Linked DNA regions of Mytilus edulis. The protein of the gene in region 2 purifies or fractionates together with the protein of the main gene of each other region. This does not show direct contact. Links are inferred from orthologs where the notes say so. Each region holds a gene or a part of one and is shown on either strand. Other genes may lie near its edges.

Region 1 (7,888 bases), on a different chromosome or scaffold from region 2:
TATTATAAAATATTTCAATCTTGATGCATCTGTGTCTGTGCAGTGATCGGGAAGGTCGTGCGCCCTGCGCCTATAGCGCATATTGACCAGAAATGGCGCATAGAGTGACAAATGTAAGCGCCCACGTGGCGCACGATATTTTTCACATCGTTTCGAAACGTTTAGATATCGTCAAATGGATTTCCGATCGTTTGCATGCCGCCATGTGTGTGTACACAACTGTATAATGTTCCTCCAATCATAGGAGCACCTATATACATTTTTGGGACGTCTCGGTTGTTTTCCTATGGTAATAGAACCATGAAGTTTAACGTCTCAGGTGTTTTCCTATGGTAATAATAGAACCATGCAGTTTAACTGATATCCCAAAAAACGTAATTAACCATCATTCATGATACAATTTTTTGTAAAGAACTTTAAATTTGTGAAATTTGGCTATTACAGACGAGATTTAACTCTAATGATAATCTTTTAATTTAGTTTAGCTTGCTATTACAAGGCCGTAACTAGGCATCTTATTTTAGTGAGGCAAAATAATTGAGCCGAGCGAAGCGAGGCGTTAAATTTTTTTGGAGGGTATGAATGAATGGTGCAAAATCCTGCGTTCTAGGCATTTTTAGAGAGTTTGATAATGTTTTGAATTTGGACAGTTTTTATATAAATTGTTCATATTTAAAGACTTTTACTAATACCAAATTTTTAACAACTTTATTTGAATTTGTATGTAAGATAATCATCCAAATATCAATTTAAATCTGCCGCCAGAACATAGAACAAACATCGATTCAGTAGAGTTTGCCAATTATTTCTATGGTGGGTTCAGTCAAATTGTTTTAGAATCATAACTTTGGTCTGCTGATATCCTTATCGCGATGAACATGGAGCATGGCAAGACCGCACAACCTCTCGCCACTCATGTATGCTCTTTTCCTAGATTTCAGTCGTTTCAGGGCAGTCTGTGTTTCTAAAGGTAGCACATTATCATCAACACAATGATCAATGTCTTCTTCCAATTCCTTCTCCATCAGCAATTCGGTAGCAGCATCGGTAGTAACAGTTTTGTTTGCAAAAGGGAATTAAGCTTTCCTATAAAGGCTAGCATCATCATACAGTCTCAGTTACAAAATATTAAACTCGCTTGTATGCTGACAAAGAGTAAACAAACTAGGGATAGAATGGGATAAGATACATGTATATGATCTATCTATAGAGTAAGTATATATGATATGGGTACAGGGGAATTAAAATGGAGTTTTGACGTTTACATGTAGGTCCGTAATTTCAAATTATTTCTGGAAATAGTCGGTGGTATTTTAGTTCCAGAATCTATAAATTTAGGGGTTAGGGGTTGGGGGTGTCTGATTCCGAAACCCCGAATATAAAGAAATGAAATTCCGTAGTCCCGAATAAGTAAAGACAAAATCCTGTGATAAAGGTTCTATACCATTCCTCAATAATGTCAAATTGGAATATGGGATGTTCTTTCAATTTTTAAGGTTAAAGAAACATGGATCATGAAAAACTAATCCATGCATGTTTCATATTATTTATATTTTATTTATCTGTAAAGAGAAAGATTAAAGTTGATGAAACGGAGAAATGAATACACAGACAGGACTGCCCCCTTGCGATGCCGACTACTTGATTTGTCAGTCTACTTATCGTTTTTTGATTGTTCTAATGAAGTTATATGCAATACGCAGACTACGTTCACAAACAAATTAGTTTACTAGAATTATTCCTTCTTTACCTTCAGTGTCGCTTTTCCTTTTTCTGCAAGAGCCTGTTTTTAACCAGAGATCCATGATGATTATCGTTACTAGGTTAATGTAATTGAGAAACATCACCCGTTGAGATGCTGAGTTATATCCAGGAAGAATAGTTTAAAGGAATGATGAAAAGTTATAGAAATTAAGGTTGAGACAGAACAACAAAAGACTATTTTATTTGTATATATGTATAAAAAAATTAATCAGTGTCGAAATTTTAGTGAGGCAATTGCCTCACTTGCCTCAAGGGTAGTTACGGCCTTGTATTATTTCGATTGAAAACCCCCGAAGCCTTTTTATGAATATAGTTTTTGTCTCCATAAAAGGCGCTTAACTGTCCTTGCCGTTTTTTGGTCTTTGGCTCGTTTTGACATTTTGTAAACATGACTTCAGCGAATTATTGTTTTGTTCTATCAACTAATGGTACTCTCTACTGTTATTCTTGTCGTCGTGATAAAGTAATAATAATAATACAAGAAGTGCAGAGGAAGTGCCTGAAATGTCTTCTAATACGGAACGCCTGGAATAAGTATGATATCGACGAAGACCCAAATTTATTGTTAAAAAAAACCCAACATAAACATGAACAAGTCAAGGCAACAGTACCAGTTTAAACATTGTAAATAAAGGTTATCTTTAATATTGTCCGTTTTGCAAGAAGTTATTGTATATTCATTAAAATTACAGAATCACAGGAACAATATCCATGATATTATTTAAAATCATAAAGATAAGTTACAACACCTCTTTGGCAAAAAATAATGATACTTTTTATTTTTTTTACAGAGGTCAATTCAAATGGCCCACTCATTTGACAACATGGCCCATTATTTTTTAAAATGGCCCATTGAATTTATTTTTGAGGGGCCCTGGGCCCATAGTGAAAAAAACCTTCCAGATCACTGTCTGTGGACTCACAAGTTTTGAAAATGGTGAGTCCAGACAGATTTTGATAAGTCTAGGACTCATGGGGTCGCCTTAGTGAGAACAATGCTAACTTGAAACTTCTGAAGAAAAAATGTAACAGGATCTGTGTGTGTGTATCTGTTTGAAGTGATTTGTTTTATTTATTTATTTTTTAGTTTGTGACAGCATCATTTTAAGGATGGTTTTATTATCTTCTTCAGAAATCACAGACCTGATGAAGTAAAATTATATATGATACTCACCTTTGATTACTCATTTTAAAGAATAAATTGTCTACTATCCGTCTGGATTCATGGAAAAAAGTTTTAAAGTGAAAACAATGAAAGTTCTGATGTTTTCGTCTTGTCCGGAAGTAAATCAGGAAAGTCGTTCGTGTTCAATGAAAAGCTTTTTCTCTAGCCACAATGTGCCATCTTTCAAACGTTAAATTGATTTTTTAAGTTTCCGACAATATGCCGACCTTGTCTGATTATTTTTCTATTTCCTCAATAAAGATTAATTTTAGTATAGTATTTTTATTTTTAGTTAAACCAGCAAATCATTCAACAAAGCATACATTCTTAACCCAAAATGCCAGGTCACATGACTGTCATGTGATCTAACAAAAAATATAGAAGAATGGCATCTTCAGTGAAATTAGCTCCACTTCCTCAAATAGAAAAACTGTCAGAACGTGTAATCAGAATATTAGGATGCAATGCAAGACCAATGACTTTACAAGGCACAAATTCCTACTTGATTGGTAAAGGTGACAGGTGAAATTTCAATAAAATATTACACTCAGTTTGATGTCAGTGATGATCAAATATTAAAATCATCATCAAAATTATATAATTTATCTAGGCTATACTATAGTACTGAGTATTGGCTTTAGCCTAAAGATGTTCTACATCTGACATCTAGAACATGTTGAAGTTGAGTCTTGGGCTAGCACATGATGATATTTGAACCTAGGTGTGTGAACTCAGAATGTCTCTTTTAATGTACAGTGGCAAATAGTTGTGTGTATATATAGAATGTAGGACAGAAAGTCACAGGACAAAAAGTCACAGACAAATAGTCACAGACAAAAAGTCACGGACAAAAAGTCACAGGACAAAAAGTCAAAATGCATTTTTTCTGATTATTTTCTTTGAATAACATGAATAAAAAAAGCTTATTTTTAACAAAATATTTTTGTATTTTCTTTAACTATTGTATAAAAACCAACTTTGTAAACAAAATTTATCAAAAAAATATCAAAGATGAACAAATAATTGTTAAAAAAACAAAATGTCAAAGTGGCTTGGCACTTCAATGGCTTCATGGTGCCAAGAAATCTTTCTTTTGTATGATTAACATCAAATAAATCTTCATTTTGCAAGTATAATGACACATTCCCTAAACTTTAATATAAATATATGTATTAAAAAGTAAATTTTGCAAGATATTTCTCTTATATATTCAAACAATTGTCAACAGATTATTTGTGACTTTTTGTCCTGTGACTTTTTGTCCTACCAAATTTGTGACTTTTTGTCCTACCAAATTTGTGACTTTTTGTCCTGTGACTTTCTGTCCGTTTACCATATATTCAACCTAAGACTGCTATAAATTAATGTGTTGTAGTAGGCTCAGATTCAACACAAGAAGATATTAGGTAGCAATACACTGTTAGGAGTTTAGTTTGCATTGGCCCTGGTGGATTTTTCAAATAGGAATGTAATTGTGTAATAAAATTCATTTTCAGACAGCTGAGTACTAACTTAGCCTTCAAAGATGGTTTATAAGAGCATTAAAATTATTTTTTACACGTTTAATGGGCTATTTTCTGTATGACAATCCATATTTTCATAGCTTAAGACTGGCCATCGGTTCAGAAACTAATGTAATATTTACAAACATTTTTTTTCTACACGAAGTTTCTGATGCAATTTTACAAAAAAATGAGATGAAAGACATATGATTTTCATTGGATTTACTGAATGATATATGTACACAGTTTAAGAAAAGGTATTACTTTAAGCGATTGAAATTCTACTTTTAGCCAAATTTTGGGGAGATATATATATGTGACATCTTTCCCCCTTTTTGCAATATTTTATAGCAAATAAATGCAGATTGTTGCCATGGATACACCCAAAAGAAATTATATTTTACCATTTTATATTCTGGATATAAAATCTATGAAGGATTCTGACTACATACATGTATGCACATATATAACACAAACAGTTTACAAGCTTATATATACATGTAACTAATTTTGCAAGAAAGCAATGAAAAGGGGATGGTAAAATTTATGAGGGCAAATTTTAGTATTTTTTCCTAACTGTTTATTGCAACCTTAACCCCCCAAAAAACCAAAATGGTTCTATTTAACATGTATATTAATTTATAAAATTTATGCCAATTATAATTATTACCACAGAAGCATTTCCATTCAGGAGGATCATGAAAGGTTATTAAAACAGAAAATAGAATTGATCCTTTTCAGCAAAGCATATATATCAGTAAGGGGACTTACCTAAATGAGTGATTTTCTAAATCACTGATTCAAGTAATATTATTTCCATAAAAGTTGGAAGTGAGAGTTGTCTTTCTCTAATAATCACCTATTTAAGTAGTACAAATTAATTACTAGAAGAAGTGATTTAATTTTATGTACATGTACATGTAGCTTTAAATATACAATACTGATCCAGGGACTAAATATGTTTATAAACTTATCAGAACCAACATCTGCACTGATAGGATGACCAGGTCATGTCAGGTGATGACCTTGTACTGAATCTAGGATAGTGAGATAAAAATGACTTGTTTAAGTATCATATCTCATGCAATTTCCCTCCCAAAATTCACTTCTTGAATAAGTATCACTATTTTGATGACCCCCACTAATTCATATTGTTGCATTTACACATGAACCATTCAACCTAAGCTTTTCAAATTTTAATATGTTGATACTGATGACAGAATTGAGGTCAAATTTGACATTGACGATTTTCACTTTCACCGTTCATCAGTTATGGTTCTTGTGATATTGCCAGGACACAAAATTAAATGTTAATAAATCCGGTTTGCTGTCGTTGTGACAGCCTCTAAGTCTTGTTTCAACTAAAATAGAATTTGCAGCTAAATGACAGCATCAAAGGCATAACCTTACTACTAAAAAGAAGCAAAAAGTTTTTTTTTTTCATTTTACTAATGAAAAGATATTATTTAAACCTATGTGTTAATTTTTTTTTACTAAAACTACAAAATCACGTTTTGTGACAAAACTTCGAATTTGCTACTCAAATAAGTGATTTAAAAATCACTTATTTCAATAAGTCCCCTGACTGTATATGTTGATCTTTATATTATATCTTTGTAATATTTTTGTCTCGTTTACATATCCCTCATCACATACATTTGATTTTATATATATAATTTTAGGAGAATATTGTTGGATACCACAGACACAGGAACACCTGATTACATCAAGAATTTACAGAATGTCCTATCACAACACAAATGTGGCATACAGGAAATAATTATAACTCATTGGCATGCTGACCATTGTGGTAGTGTTCCTGATGTATGTAACCAAGTCACAAAATGTAATTATTATACAAATGTTATATTTAATCTCTAAAAAAAGAAAATAATAAATATATAATACATGCCTTCTGAAGAGGTGGATTTAGAGGGTTTTCAGGTGGCAGCACCTTTTTCTGAGGCGAAAATTTGGTTATTTATATAGGGAATCACTGAATCATGACTGGAGCGCAACCTTACCTCTTTTATGAACATTTCTGGATCAGTTACGGTTCTGGGAAAGTGAAAAAAACAAGAACGATTTGAAGCAAGTAAGGATATCAAAGTAAAAATTAACTAGGTTAATTTACAGCTACAACAATGTACTAGTTGTCAGTCAGGATTAATCTTTGTTCAAATGTTTTTTGATTTACTGTTACATGCAGATACATTATTTTGGAGGTGTAGAGTTATATCCCTTTAAAAGACATAAAGATTTTATTTTTAACCAAAATGTAAATAAGAATGTCTTATTTTGACTACATTGCTCTAGTATACAGTCAGTGTATAATTGTCATTGCTATTTATAAAATGTATAATTCCATCAACCATGTTAACAATAAAAATGTCATATTAGTAGGTCATTTAAAAAAAAAAAAAACTCTTTTACATGCCTTTAGCAAGCAATTTTCAAGACTTTGCACAATTAATTATTATCTACATGTTTAATAGCTTTCCTTGCTGAGTTTTTGAGATAAAGGTGGATATTAAGGTGTTGTAAAAACAAATAACTTGTATATATAAGTTAATTTTGGTGGAGATCAAAGGAGATTATTCAAAGCTTGAAAATAAAATCATATCGTAGTTTACTTATGTAAGAGAAGGTCCGAGACCACAATTGTCGTCCTTTGATTTTCGTTGTTCACGAATATAGTCCCTAGTGTTGACAGTGGGTTACTTGCCAATGTTTTTTATACCCCTTCCAAATTTATTTCTCCATGTTTTATGCCTCAAATTGCAAGTAGGGAGGTGAAATTACACTGTAAAAAAATTTGGGTCCAGAATTTTAAAGGAAAGTAGTGATTTGGTCCAGCTGAAAAAGGTTAAAAATTAGCACTTTGGAAGCTGTCAAAAGATTTCAAGACGCCCTAAATATAAAATTGTCCATATTTTGAGTTAGAGCTGATGAAGTTTTCTATAATTTTGATATAATTTGTCCCAAAAGTAGTACAACACACTGTAAAAATTTAATTGAGAAAGCGCAGGTGGGATTTTTTATATTTCATTTATGTTCTAAAAGAAATGCACTACGAAATAATTGTGGTCTCTGACCAGAACATTACTTGTATCTTTAAGTAAATAAATATGTATAGGTATTTTGGAAAAGATGTTACAAAGTTGAAAAACGTGTGTCTAATCCATTTGTCCATTTTGAACAATATGAAATATGTTTAGACTAAACCAAACATTACCCCTGATTGACTACACTATACATGATCTTGTCCTTGAATGCATGCAATATTTACAGCAGGACTTGAAACACCACTCCATCCATCCACCCTATTATTGAGTAATATGTGTCTTTTTATTTTATATTCACAGCTCAAGAGACCATTGTATCAAAATTCCAAAGATTATCTCAACAGGATCTAGACATCTCTCCAGCAAAGTATACATTTGTGGAAAACAACACA
Region 2 (6,941 bases):
TCTTGACTTAAATCATAGAAACTTGATAAATGTGAACCTGTCACTTTATTTAATTTCTACAATTAACTATACCATGTATACTGGCTATCAGTAAGGATTAATTGGATAATTTTTAGTGAAAGTCTCATAAATTGCAAAGCACATGGAGTAGACATTGCTTTTTAAATCATAGAGGATGCAAGTTTTATGAATGAAAGATAATCAAATAAATATTTTCCAACTGTTCATTTTGAATCAAGCTGCACTTTTTAATTGTTGCTTTTAACATTAGCCAAAATGTAGTTTTGTTTAGGCCACAATTAAAAATATTTTGGTTTGCCCAAACCCTACCCAAAGGTTGAGACAGTGGGTAGGTAGGTAGGCATTTTCTTTTTTTTTTTCAAAAAGAGAAATTGAAGTATCGGGTGTTTATTAGTCTTTATGCCTATCTGATAAAAAAAAAAACTTCTTCAAATTAGGACAATAAAAGAATTTGAGTAGGCAACTTTTTTCTGGGTAGGTAGCGTTTGGGCAAACAAATCTATTCTTTTTTATGGCCTTAACAAAGACAAAATGTGTAAATAAATGTACTATACATACTTTCAAAGCTACTAAAAGTGTTACTGTTTCTACTGAGTAATATCCTCTGTCTACATAGTCTCCCATGAACAAGTAGTTAGTGTCTGGTGATTTTCCACCAATTCTGAACAATTCCATCAAGTCATGGAACTGGCCATGGACATCCCCGCACACAGTAACTGGACATTTAACTTCCTGAACATTTGATTCCTTGGACAATATTTCTTTAGCCTGAAAAAAATTAATTGTTTATTAGTATTAAATAAATTAAAGAGTGCCTCAAAATGCATTTTTATTTAAAATTCACATTATAAGCCTCATTTGTTTCAGGTTAAAGAAGTCCCAGCATTTAATATAAATGCATGTCAATAGCCAGAAAATAAGAACTGAACAGTGAATATCATAATCAAACAATTAATCATACATTAGGAGAATAAATACAAGTCCTACAAAACTGAGGTGTTGTATATACATGATATAGCTCATCAGTTCAATTATAAGACCAAACAAAATAAAATAGTGTATGTATATTAACTGTCACCTGCTTAAAACAGGGACTTATGCAAGAGATCAAATTACAATTAACTACATGTATTATATATTTTCTGTTAGCTGCCATTTGCTGAAGTTGTTTCTGATATATGTTTTAACATGGTTTTACACAACATTTATTGATGATTTTTGGTTGCAAACAAGAATGTGTCCAAAGTACACGAATGCCCCACTCGCATTATCATTTTCTATGTTCAATGGACCGTGAAATCGGGTAAAAAATCTAATTTGGCCTTAGAAGTAAATTGATCAACCAAAAGGGAACATGTGTACTAAGTTTCAAGTTGATTGGACTTTAATTTCATTGAAAACTACCTTGACCAAAAACTTTAACCTGAAACTCACACTTTTAATTTCTATGTTCAGTGGACCATGAAAATGGAGTCAAAAGATTAATTTTTTTTTTTTAAATAAGAAAGATCATATCATAAGGAACATGTGTACAAAGTTTCAAGTTGATTACACTTTAGCTTCTTCAAAAACTACCTTGACCAAAAACTTTAACCTGAAATGGGACAGACGGACGAACAGACGGAAGGACGCACAGACCAGAAAAAATAATGCCCCTCTACTATCGTAGGTGGGGCATAAAAAAGAACATATATAGCTGTCAAGAATAATACTTCTGAAAATATTTTCATTACTACATCTTCTTTACTATTCATGCTATTTGGCATAATTTCCAAGCTTAAAAGTTATCCAAAGCTAGAATGAACATTTTCTGTGTGTGACAACACACAACTGAACACTACCTTATAAGAAGAGTTAATAAGCCTGATCAGTGCTACATAAATGCTCCATCAACTTTTATCTTTGAAGCCTGCAGCAGGATTATGTTTTCAGATGTCAACAACCTAGAACATCCTTCGCTGCCCTTTTGACATATCTTTAAATGAAATTCTTGTGCGTTTGATTTAAAAACTGAAAACTTAGATTTTAAATTGGGGAAAGGAGGTTAGTGTTTGTGTTTAAGTTTCTTTAATCAAATACACTGCTTGAGGTATTTACAATTAGTTACATCTATAATACCAATGATTCATTCTCAAAGCTGGGGATAAAACATGTAAAAATATCCTTGAATTTCATTTAATGTGATGAACACAACATTTTAGTTCAATTGGTCCATCTTACTGTAACTTGTGTAAGTCAAATAGTGTATTTAACAAGACTTGAGGTATACTTCTTGTGCTACCAGAGTTATCAATAAATGGTTTGTGGCATGTTGACTAAAACACATTCAGGATGCTGGATTGAAACCTTTGAAAACCTTTTAACTGTGCTAGGCTGTTTTATGAAATGTGATTAGATACGATATCAGTACACCTGAGCAAAGAAAACTTTGGTTGCCATATACAATTTTACGAAAAATTGGTTTCGTAAAAATGTGTTGCCATGCGAGTTTGATGCAACAGTTATACAGTCATTTATAGGCCGACACATGCTTTATGCAGTTATGACATTAAAGTCACTATGTCTGTAAGTATTTTTAAAGGGAAAACAGTTGATGAAAGTGTATATACCTTTTCACACAATGTTTTGACTTGATTTTCGGTCAGTTGTTTGCAATCATAAAGTTGTTCAATCCATGTATCGAGTTCTTTTGCTGTTGCATGATCGTCAACGTAACTCATTTTGAAAAGATATGTTTACATGTATTAAACTTGACAAATGTATACAAAAATGCGTTATTTATCTCTTATTTGGTGTTATTTTCAAGTCTCAGCACATCGAGGCGCCGACAAAATGGCTGTGTCTTCCTTCTCGAGTGACGTCACTTTCATAAATAATTGTTAACGAATGAAAATTTTTATTTATATAAGATAAATAAAAATGACGAATTACTAAATTAAGAACTAATCGTGATGTTAATCATTATTTATCTTAAATGATTCAAAATTTTAATGCAAATATAAACTGGATTCTGAGTCACTCTGCTGGTGTCCTTATTCCGTTTGGTGACATCTATCGGAATTTTTCTAAACCAAGCGAGTTAACTACAGACTTCCTTTTCCGGTTTGCCCGTCTTAGTTCATGGCGAACTAAATAAGTTATATCGAATCTGCGCCAATCATAGTTGAATTTTCATTAAAAACAAGAAAACGATGGCGGAGCAAATGACGCTTAGAGGGACCCTCCAAGGGCATGGAGGATGGGTGACACAGATTGCCACAACTCCCCAATATCCTGATATGGTGTTGTCATCTTCTCGGGGTAAAATATTCTGAATAGATCTCATTTTTTGTATAACCTGCATGTTTTGCACATATTATCAATGTATTCGATCTTCAAGACGATGCACATACTCTATCTTTTTATTGCAACGTTGTCTTTTTTGTCATACTGTGTAAATTTGTTTACATGTACATTTTTCATCTTCAATGTTGAAATGCCGGTAGACCTATTGGCAGAAGATCGAATTAAAAGCCGCAGTTTGGAGAGAATATCATTTCTGATTGCAATCTGCATTTAAGTAAAGTTCGTAGGCGCTTTTTCTCAAGTGGAACATTCGAAAATACAGGGACTGAGCATGAACATGTACAGTCATGACAGTATGGTATATTCATCAATGGGCTGATGGATCATAGTATAATGTAGATGTACAATTGTTCCCTAGAACGGAATCTGTGACATATGATCAATTCATACAGAACATGTAAATATACCAGCTGTCTGCACCAAAATCGTTATTTATCACTAGTTCAAGAATATTAGAAAAAAATGTATGTGTCGTAACAATGTTTTGCAAACATGTACTACTCTGGTGCAAATATAGTCCTAATAATTGTGACGTCTTGAAATTTTATTTATTGAAGACATGTTTTTTGGTAAGACTGTGTGATGGAATTTCTCTCAAACTTTAGACCCAAGTTAACAATAAAACGCTTCTACAGTGGTGTCTGCATGGCCAGTGATACTGTGCATTATCTGATTTCGTCATATCAACAAAGTAACACAAATAAAATCGTTCTTGTTATTGTTTTAGCCTTCAGAAGGGATTAAAAAAAAAATTATAAGTTCAAGAGGTTAATAACTGCAAACCCGTGATTTACAATATTTGACTAATTTCCATTAAAAAAAATTACATCATCAGATAAAATTTGTTTTATTTAAGTCAAAATTTTATTAGTTTGAAATAATTTTTGCTCTGCATCCTTGGAAGTGTGTTTGGTTCAAATTCAGCTATATTTTGGAGTAGAAAGTCTTTCCTTTATTCAAAATAACATATTTTTGGAAGGCATGTGCGAAATCCCCAGACATTGGAGGAAATCTCAGAACAGGGGTTTCCCTAATTTTGGACACGCATTACACAAAATCTTGGGTGAAACCATACAAACAGAAGATTTTATAAAATAAAAGTATGTTATGAATGTGTTCACCCAATATTATCCATTTATTGGTTTTATCAGTTGAATGAAATGAAGTCATAAGTCTTAGGTGCATGGATACACCGGACTGCGCCGTAAGCTAATTTCCCTATGTATATAATTAGAAGAGTACTATAAAATATTTATTTGCACCAAACTCAGAATAATATATGACGCACAATCTTTTCGGGATGTTTGATTTATATTTAAATTCATGTCCATCAAAATTTAGAGTTTGGAAAACAAATATATTATTTTATACTCCTAAAATGAATTTCAAAGTGTCTATATAGAAGAAATCAGTAAAACGTTTTTAAAAGTCTTACTAAAAAAAATAAGTTGGGCATATATGACATCCCATGCCAGAAAGGCTACAAAGCAAAAAATAAAATATATTTCAAGACATCATAATTATTTTGACTAATGGTGAAGACTGCACTACAGGTATAAAGTGTCAATATAAACAATTTTGTAATAAAAAGGAAAAGTATTGAAATTAGTTTATAATTAATTAGGTCAGTATGTCTGATTATTTTTTATGCCCCACCTACGATAGTAGAGGGGCATTATGTTTTCTGATCTGTGCGTCCGTTCGTCTGTCTGTTCGTTCGTTCGTCCGTCTGTCCCGCTTCAGGTTAAAGTTTTTGGTCAAGGTAGTTTTTGATGAAGTTGAAGTCCAATCAACTTGAAACTTAGTATACATGTGCCCTATGATATGATCTTTCTAATTTAAATGCCCAATTATAGTTTTGGCCCCAATTTTACGGTTCACTGAACATAGAAAATGATAGTGCAAATTTCAGGTTAAAGTTTTTGGTCAAGGTAGTTTTTGATGAAGTTGAAGTCCAATCGTTAAAGTTTTTGGTCAAGGTAGTTTTTGATGAAGTTGAAGTCCAATAGTTGAAGTCCAATCAACTTGAAACTTAGTATACATGTGCCCTATGATATGATCTTTCTAATTTAAATGCCAAATTATAGTTTTGACCCCAATTTTATGGTTCACTGAACATAGAAAATGATAGTGCAAATTTCAGGTTAAAGTTTTTGGTCAAGGTAGTTTTTGATAAAGTAGAAGTCCACAATCAACTTGAAACTTAGTATACATGTTCCCTTTGATTAGATCATTCTAATTTTAATGCCAAATTAGAGAATTTATTCCAATTTCACGGTCCACTAAGGCCAAAAAAAAAAGATATGTGTTTCCGGTAACATCATTTTAAAAAATAGGGTAGGTAGGTCGGAATTCTTTTTTTTTTTCTTTTTTTTTTTTTTTTTGACATCGTAAATGAAATCCGGAAAATTATCATGTTTTTTTCCAAGTTCGGATCCGTAATTAGTTTCAAAAACCGGAAGTGTGCCATTTGCAATGTTTTTGAAGCACCTGCTGTGCAAATTTCTTGGATTTTAACCTATTTGGAATACCTTTTGACATTAATAAAATGTTTTACTGGCTTTCTATGACTGGCTTTCTATGCAAGAGGAAGCAAGAGAGAAAAAATATTATGTCATCTATCAGAAGCCTGTGTCAAAAACAGGGTCGGTTGATAAATTTTTTTTTTTTTTTTTGGAAGATCCAATAAAAAAGTTAGGGTCGGGGCTAAAAAACAGGGTCGGTCGGGTTACCGGAAACACTGATCTTTTTTTTCTCGGCCTAAACATAGAAAATGATAGTGCGAGTGGGGCATCCGTGTACTGTGGACACATTCTTGTTTATTATTTATTTGAGAATAGAACTGTGAACGTTTGTATAAAGGTTGACAACAAATTATAGGGCAGGATATATGTATTATATATGTAGCCAGTCATTGTCTTCTTTTGAATTTCAACAATTCTTATTTTCAGACAAGACCTTGATTATGTGGAAATTGACCAGAGACGAGACAAATTATGGTTTACCACTCAGATGTTTAAGAGGTCATGGTCACTTTGTATCAGATGTAGTCATGTCATCTGATGGCCAGTTTGCTTTGTCTGGATCATGGGACAAGACTCTACGTTTGTGGGATCTTGGAGCGTAAGGCTTTTTGATTATCTGATTAAATGTTCTTTCAAAGTTTTCATAAAATTGACTTGACAAAGCTTAAGTAGTACAATAAGAAACTAAATGAACAAAAATGCCATAAATGTCAAATTACCTCTAATGCATAACATCTTTTACTGCATCTACTGTAAATTCAGAAACTATTGGTGCATTTATTATTGCGTTTTTGTTATTTTAGACTTAAAATGCGATTTTAATTTTTAAGGTTTTGAGAAAAATTCGGTTTAATTCATATCAAATATTTCAAATGCGAGTTAAAATTATTGCGTTTAAAATGTGTTGCATTTTCCCCATTATTAAAAACCTTGCATTAATTTCTGAATTGGAAACTTTTTTTGTGTGTGTAGTGTGAACACATTGTTAATATTTGAGTTTGATATCATTCCCATACTACATACAATGTACAGGTAAAAATGATGTAGCAT
Region 3 (7,269 bases), on a different chromosome or scaffold from region 2:
GTAGCGGTGTGACACCACGAATCACGGATTATACTCCCAATTTCCTCCAAAGATTCTCTCCCAACACCGCGTGGCTGTTAATTGGTTTATTGCCCATCGGATGTTCTGAAAATTAATGACGCGTGACAACATCATCGGATTAGCCAGATTTATTACCTTTGTACATTTAATCGATCTTGATTGCACCTGTGTGCTTTAAAATACGTTATTTAAATGTCCTTTCATTGTCAGATAAAAGTGTGACATTTCTATTTAAAATAAGATTATTATTCTTGTATGTATATGCCCATGTCATTGTCATATGACATACAGCGTACAGACGTATAAAAATACGAATAAAACGCTTATTTTGTATTTCCATTATAGTCCGATCAGGTCATAATTTTTGGGTTTTTTTTCAACAAAGACGATTTTACCACAATTAGAACCTTTTATGACCTACTCAGTGAGCAATATTGGGTTCATTAATAGTTCAATATTATAAAATTAATATCAACTGGCTTAAAACAAAATGATGTTTTTAAGGTAATTTGTCCAATCTAAATTAAACCCAAGAGTTAATTTATCGGATCAACAAGCATGCCAAGTGAACTCTGTTACTTTCAATTTATTTTGAAATGTAAAATATTATGTTTCACTACCTCGGTAGAATAAAATTTCCGACTTGAAATATTTGAATTTTAAAAAGAAACTGTAAAGTGACAAATAGTTTTGTATGCAATGTGGCAGCCCTATATTCATAAATACTGAGAAGACACAACACAATTATCACAACCTTATTTAATTATATGGAGAAAAGAAATCATGTGTTTTTAATCTGTTATTGATCTTTAATTATTTAAAATAAAATTGGATTGGCGCAATCCGTAGTTTACTGCTCGTTAAAACTCCTCGACGAAATATAAAAAGAAGTAGTTCAACAATTTATACAATAGAATATTAAAATGAAATTATATCGTGTTCTACAAGAAAAAAATATGTAAAAAAAAAATTAGATCAGATTTTAACGATCGACAAATTTTCACAGAGGTCTCTGCCAACGCCCATCATGAACATGCATCCTGTTTTCATATACCATTAATATATAGTGTTGACTATAGACGTATAAATAATGTCCGGTTTTATGTCCTCTGTTGACTGAGAAACATAAAAATAAAAGGCTGATGTTGGTTTATTCAGAAAAGGAATATAATTTAGAATCCGGTTAATCAATTGTAAAAGGACCGTCTAGAGCCTCAATCTTAACGCACACAAATTTATGTCAATCATTACAAAGCAAGTTTAAACCTTGAATGAATTTTCCCACGGTTATCCAGAAAGGTCACCTGAGTTAACTGTTACATGATACTATTTCCCGCCAAATAAAAATCTCGTGGACAAAATTGATGTCACTATTTTTAGCATTCAATATTGTGAGCGAAGTCAAGTTCAACCACGCACTGTTGATCACTGAGTTGCGTATCGTCTTCCCACAGCAATTTATTGGTTTAGAAATATTTAAATACAACACAAAAGTTTACATTCATTGTGCGTAAATGAATATTATGCAACGACGAGTTGATGCAGCTATAGAAGTATTCCTGTTGTAGCCGAAATGTATTATTTATTCTTAAGTAATGCTAACAAATCGTGAAGAGAAAATGCCGTAGACTTATTAAGCATAGCGAATTGTGAATAGTATTTTCTTTTTTTCTTGTATATACAAGTTTAAAGACACGTAATTTTCTTTCTTTCTCACATTTTATAACTTCTGCGTTAATTTCCATCTATTTTCGCAAGTTATATAAATTACCGATAAAAACAACGAGATCATAATCAAGTATAGATTTTTTTTTATAAAACTTTACTGCAATTGAAAGCATTAACAACAATCTTTTGCTTTTTAAAACTTTTATTTTGTAATCGTAAAATGGAAATGAAAACTTATTAGCATAACAGATAGTGAATAATATTTTCTTTTTTACTTGTATAAAAAACTTTGAGACGTGTAATTTTTCTTTAAACTGTCCTAATTTATTCAACGTTAGTTTCCGTTTATTGTTACACAATTATATCTCTTTTAGTAAATTAAATATTTATTTACTGATAAAAAACGGAAGTCAAAATCAAATATAGTTTTTTTTTAACTTGATTTAAATGTACAGTGTAATTGAAAGAATTAACAACAACGTTTTGATTTTGATTTTAATCTTTCATTTGTTTCAAGCAATCAGATATAACCTGATAATCAATAGAGTGACTAGACAGGAAATACAATTGTTTAATTACATTAGAAATCTCGCATACCTTGACTGTCGAGTGCCGGCATAGATCAGAAGGATTAGGGCAATTAATTACCTGGTGTGACACCGCGTCACTCCAGACTGGGAGAGATGTCGCTAATACAATAAACAAAAGGTAACGGATTTACACGGAAGTCAGAGGGAATACTCCCAAATTTCTCCGACAATTTAGGGAGTGATGTCGGAGTTTCCTGGTGTCACACCAGCAAAAAACTCGGTGTTTGGAGTTTGGGATGGCTTTCGCGAAAATTGAACTGTATAAGCCGGTATCATATGACTGACAAATAAAATGTAGTCGTCACTTTTATTTATTATTGCAAGCTATTGTAGAAATATTTTCAAGGCTGATGCACGTGCTTTTAACCACTTGGTTTTAATATATTCCGATAATCATATTTGTTTACCAAAATTCAAGTGTACGCCCGGGCGTTTTGACGTAAACGTAGCTACGCGCCTGGACGTCTTGGAAGGCTATTTTAAATTTTTGCTCCTGCGACGTAAGGTGTCAAAGAAAAAAAAATATAATAGCCTTTCAACTATTCAATATGTCATAATTAAAAATTTTGGACTTAATTTCCAGTGAATGTACAAAAAATTATAAATGTATATATTGAAAAGCCCCCTGGACTTTTTTGTAAATCAATTTATGTACTTGATAGTCCTGAGATGAAGTTGAATCATTTGTATTTTCTGTGAAGATATACGTTGTCCATAAATCTTGGTACAACTCCGAAAGAGTTGGTGTTTTGTCTCCAGCTTCAGCCATATCTCACACCGATATCGTTATCAGAGAAACGTTTTACCGATTTACTATAAAATCACATTCGGTACAGATAAGACTAATTTCTGGATCATAGATGTGTAATGATTAATCAAAATTTGCAAATAAACAAGCTTTTATAAGAAAGAAATTGTATCAGTTTCAATCAGCTGTTATATACAAGCGAATAAAACTGCATTTTTATTCTGTATTTACTTTACAGCACTGTTAGACACAACGCCCTTGGAATCAGCATTTGTGTCTAAAATTAGAATGACCTAAGCGCCAAATAACGTTGACTTTGTTTATGAAAATGACAAGTCCCACTGCCACTGCTCAGTTATTCCGCAGTCTATTGAAAGAACTACGCTTTATTAATTCAAAGGTTGGCTGCACGTTTGTACTGTTGCCAATATTTATTTCATGTCTAGTTTGCATTAGATAATAGATATAGGAAGATGTGGTGTGAGTGCCAATGAGACAACTCTCCATCCAAACAACAATTCAAAAATTAAACCATTATAGGTTAAAGTACGGCCTTCAACACGGAGCCTTGGCTCACACCGAACAACAAGCTATAAAGGGCCCCAAAATAACTAGTGTAAAACCATTCAAACGGGAAAACCAACGGTCTAATCTATATAAACAAAACGAGAAACGAGAAACACGTATATATTACATAAACAAACGACAACTACTGTACATCAGATTCCTGACTTAGGACAGGTGCAAACATTTGCAGCGGGATTAAACGTTTTAATGGGCCCAAACCTTCTCCCTTTTTCTGAAACAATAGCATAACATCACAACATATAAAAACATACGATAAAATATCAATTGGCAGACTTAACTCAATCAAAAAACGTATGATTACACAATGAACGAATAAATTTGATCTGCGATATCTGAATACAAATGCACAGTTAATTAAATATTAGAGACAGATAACTCTGTTTCTCAGCCTCAATAAGTATAACTGAGACCCTCATGTCATGGGGGTGCCCAAGTAATCACATAATCACATTTTTGTTCATGTTGTTTGTCAAAATAATCGTATAATAATTAATTATTATTTTAAAGATAGTAATCAAAAATACAGTCCTAGATTATTAAAAAACAAATAATCATGTAATATTTGGTTTGGTAATCAAATAATCACAAAAAACAGTGCAGTAATCACATAATCGATTACCCCATGAGGATGCTCATAACTATAAACGATTATATGGTCAATATATTTGGTGTATGGAAGGATTGTAAGATGTACATGATCTACATATAAAAAAAGATGTGGTATGATTGCCAATAGGATAACTCTCCAAAAGAGACCACAATGACACATACATTAACAACTACATGTATAGGTCACTGTACAGCCTTCAACAATGAGCAAAGCACATACCACATCTAGTCAGCTATGAAAGGCCCGGAAATGATAATGTGAAACAATTCAAAGGTGAAAAACTAACTACATGAATTGTCTGTTGGACATGGGTCATGTGACCTTGACCTCATTTTCATTCTTCTTCTTCTTATGATATCCAGTTATCCATCAGATTTTTGATGATTACTAAATGCTTTCTTAATGAACTGTTACACAAGCATTACAAGAAGTCACTTGAAAGTAACATAGTTTATTTAAGTTGTCTTGTGAATATGGTGTATTGCAGTCATTTTACGATATTTGAGATTTAGAGCTCTTTAAAAAGACCATAGACATGGGAATGGTCAAAGACCTTCGTATCACTGTATGCAGCTGCAAAAAGGCTAGCTTTTCACTCGCAAACAAAAGGTGTAAATGAAAACGATCGTGCACAAATTTCTTGCAAATGCAAAAAAAACTATGATACCGTTTGTACATGTACATGCAAGAATTTAACTATAGCGATGAAAACTAACTATGACATCAATACTTAATTTTTTCGTAGTTTTTGGATTATAAAATTAATAAATTGTCATGTAACCATCACTTTTTTTTAGATAAAGTTTTTGTACTACTAAAACGTTTATAATGTTATCTGAAAAAAAATACCTATATAGTCCGGCCTGTTAATAACCAAACGAGTATTATACTCATCTGGTCCGACCAAACGCGTACGGGCGGACCATACGCATATGGTTGGACTATACATGTACGAGTATACCATTTGGTGAATTATTTCATTATATATTCATTACACAAAAATATTAGTTTTTAGCTCACCTGGCCTAAAAGGCCATGTGAGCTTTTCTTATCACTTGGCGTCCGTCGTCGTCGACGTCGTCGTCGTCGTCGTCGTCGTCGTCGTCTGTCGTCGTTAACAATTTTTCAAACATCTTCTCCTCTGAAACTACTGAATGGATTTGAATGAAACTTAGCATGATTGTTCCTTAGAGTATCCTGCACAAAGTGTGCGCTTCGATTTTTGATCCGTCAAAAAACATGGCCGCCGTTACCTAAAATAGAACATAGGAGTCAAATGCAGTTTTTGGCTTATATCTCGAAAACGAAAGCATTTAGAGCAAATCTGACATGGGGTAAAAATGTTCATTAGGTCAAGATCTATCAGCCCTGAAATTTTCAGATGAATCAAACAAACCATTGTTGGGTTGCTGCCACTTAATTGGTAATTTTAAGGAAATTTTGCAGTTTTTGGTCATTATCTTGAATATTATTATAGATAAAGATAAACTGTAAACAGCAAAAATGATCAGCAAAGTAAGATCTACAAATAAGTTAATATGACCAAAATTGTCAATTGACCCCTTAAGGGGTTATTGTCCTTTAATGGCAATTTTTCACAATTTGTTCATCAAATTTGCTAACTTTAAAAAATCTTCTCCTCTGAAACTACTGAATGGATTTGAATGAAACTTAGCATGATTGTTCCTTAGAGTATCCTGCACTAAGTGTGTGCTTCGATTTTTGATCCGTCAAAAAACATGGCCGCCGTTACCTAAAATAGAACATAGGGGTCAAATGCAGTTTTTGGCTTATATCTCGAAAACGAAAGCATTTAGAGCAAATCTGACATGGGGTAAAAATGTTCATTAGGTCAAGATCTATCAGCCCTGAAATTTTCAGATGAATCAAACAAACCATTGTTGGGTTGCTGCCACTTAATTGGTAATTTTAAGGAAATTTTGCAGTTTTTGGTCATTATCTTGAATATTATTATAGATAAAGATAAACTGTAAACAGCAAAAACGATCAGCAAAGTAAGATCTACAAATAAGTTAATATGACCAAAATTGTCAATTGACCCCTTAAGGGGTTATTGTCCTTTAATGGCAATTTTTCACAATTTGTTCATCATATTTGCTAACTTTAAAAAATCTTCTCCTCTGAAACTACTGAATGGATTTGGATGAAACTTAGCATGATTGTTCTTTAGATTATCCTGCACAAAGTGTGTGCTTAGATTTTTGATCCGTCAAAAAACATGGCCACCGTTACTTAAAATAGAACATAGGGGTCAAATGCAGTTTTTGGCTTATATCTCAAAAACGAAAGCATTTAGAGCAAATCTGACATGGGGTAAAAATGTTCATTAGGTCAAGATCTATCAGCCCTGAAATTTTCAGATGAATCAAACAAACCATTGTTGGGTTGCTGCCACTTAATTGGTAATTTTAAGGAAATTTTGCAGTTTTTGGTCATTATCTTGAATATTATTATAGATAAAGATAAACTGTAAACAGCAAAAATGATCAGCAAAGTAAGATCTACAAATAAGTCAAATTGACAAAAATTGTCAATTGACCTCTTAAGGAGTTATTGCCCTTTAAAAACTTTTTTCACAATTTGTTCATCATGTTGACTTACTTTAAAAAATCTTCTCCTTTGAAACTGCTGTATCAATTTCAGCCAAACTTAGGCTAAATGAGTTTCAGAGTTTCAGAGTATCTAGTATAAATTTTATATTTCATTTCCTTGTATGTCAAGAAACATAGCTCCTATGGCTAAAATAGAACATAGGAGAAATTGATTTTTTTTTTTGGCTTTTGAAGAGAATAGGACGATTTCAAGAACATTTAAATAAATTGAAAAGCCAAAATAATCATTGATGAGAGATTAAACCAAAAAAATTCAGGTGAGCGATTCAGGCTCTTGAGAGCCTCTTGTTTACAACAATGTCATGAACAGGATGAATGTGTCAAAAGTAAATGTACGTTATTTGTTCATAACATGTTTGATTGATATTTTTTCAATAAAGACAAAAAAATAAAATGACTTACAAGAACATG

What was found.
Region 1: the proteins of serine/threonine-protein phosphatase 2A catalytic subunit beta isoform (region 2) and serine/threonine-protein kinase 3-like purify together in Drosophila melanogaster (affinity purification with western blotting; 3 studies listed by BioGRID, with this or other methods). This does not show direct contact. The link is inferred for Mytilus edulis from reciprocal best matches to the Drosophila melanogaster genes mts and hpo.
Region 3: the proteins of serine/threonine-protein phosphatase 2A catalytic subunit beta isoform (region 2) and immunoglobulin-binding protein 1-like purify together in Drosophila melanogaster (affinity purification with western blotting; 3 studies listed by BioGRID, with this or other methods). This does not show direct contact. The link is inferred for Mytilus edulis from reciprocal best matches to the Drosophila melanogaster genes mts and Tap42.

What each region holds. Positions count from the first base shown.
Region 1 is NC_092355.1:58,086,748-58,094,635, forward strand, and holds the start of serine/threonine-protein kinase 3-like, read right to left. Parts: upstream 3,083-7,888; 5' UTR 2,953-3,082; coding exon 2,939-2,952; intron 1-2,938. Other genes in the region: endoribonuclease LACTB2-like, read left to right, coding at 3,315-3,451, 6,114-6,277, 7,797-7,888. UniProt on the Drosophila melanogaster protein: Plays a key role in the Hippo/SWH (Sav/Wts/Hpo) signaling pathway, a signaling pathway that plays a pivotal role in organ size control and tumor suppression by restricting proliferation and promoting apoptosis.
Region 2 is NC_092352.1:55,731,073-55,738,013, reverse strand, and holds the start of serine/threonine-protein phosphatase 2A catalytic subunit beta isoform, read right to left. Parts: upstream 3,089-6,941; 5' UTR 2,742-3,088; coding exon 2,631-2,741; intron 790-2,630; coding exon 580-789; intron 1-579. Other genes in the region: small ribosomal subunit protein RACK1, read left to right, coding at 3,213-3,321, 6,318-6,489.
Region 3 is NC_092345.1:81,758,526-81,765,794, reverse strand, and holds the start of immunoglobulin-binding protein 1-like, read right to left. Parts: upstream 3,091-7,269; 5' UTR 3,049-3,090; coding exon 2,935-3,048; intron 1-2,934. Other genes in the region: protein FMC1 homolog, read left to right, coding at 3,350-3,427.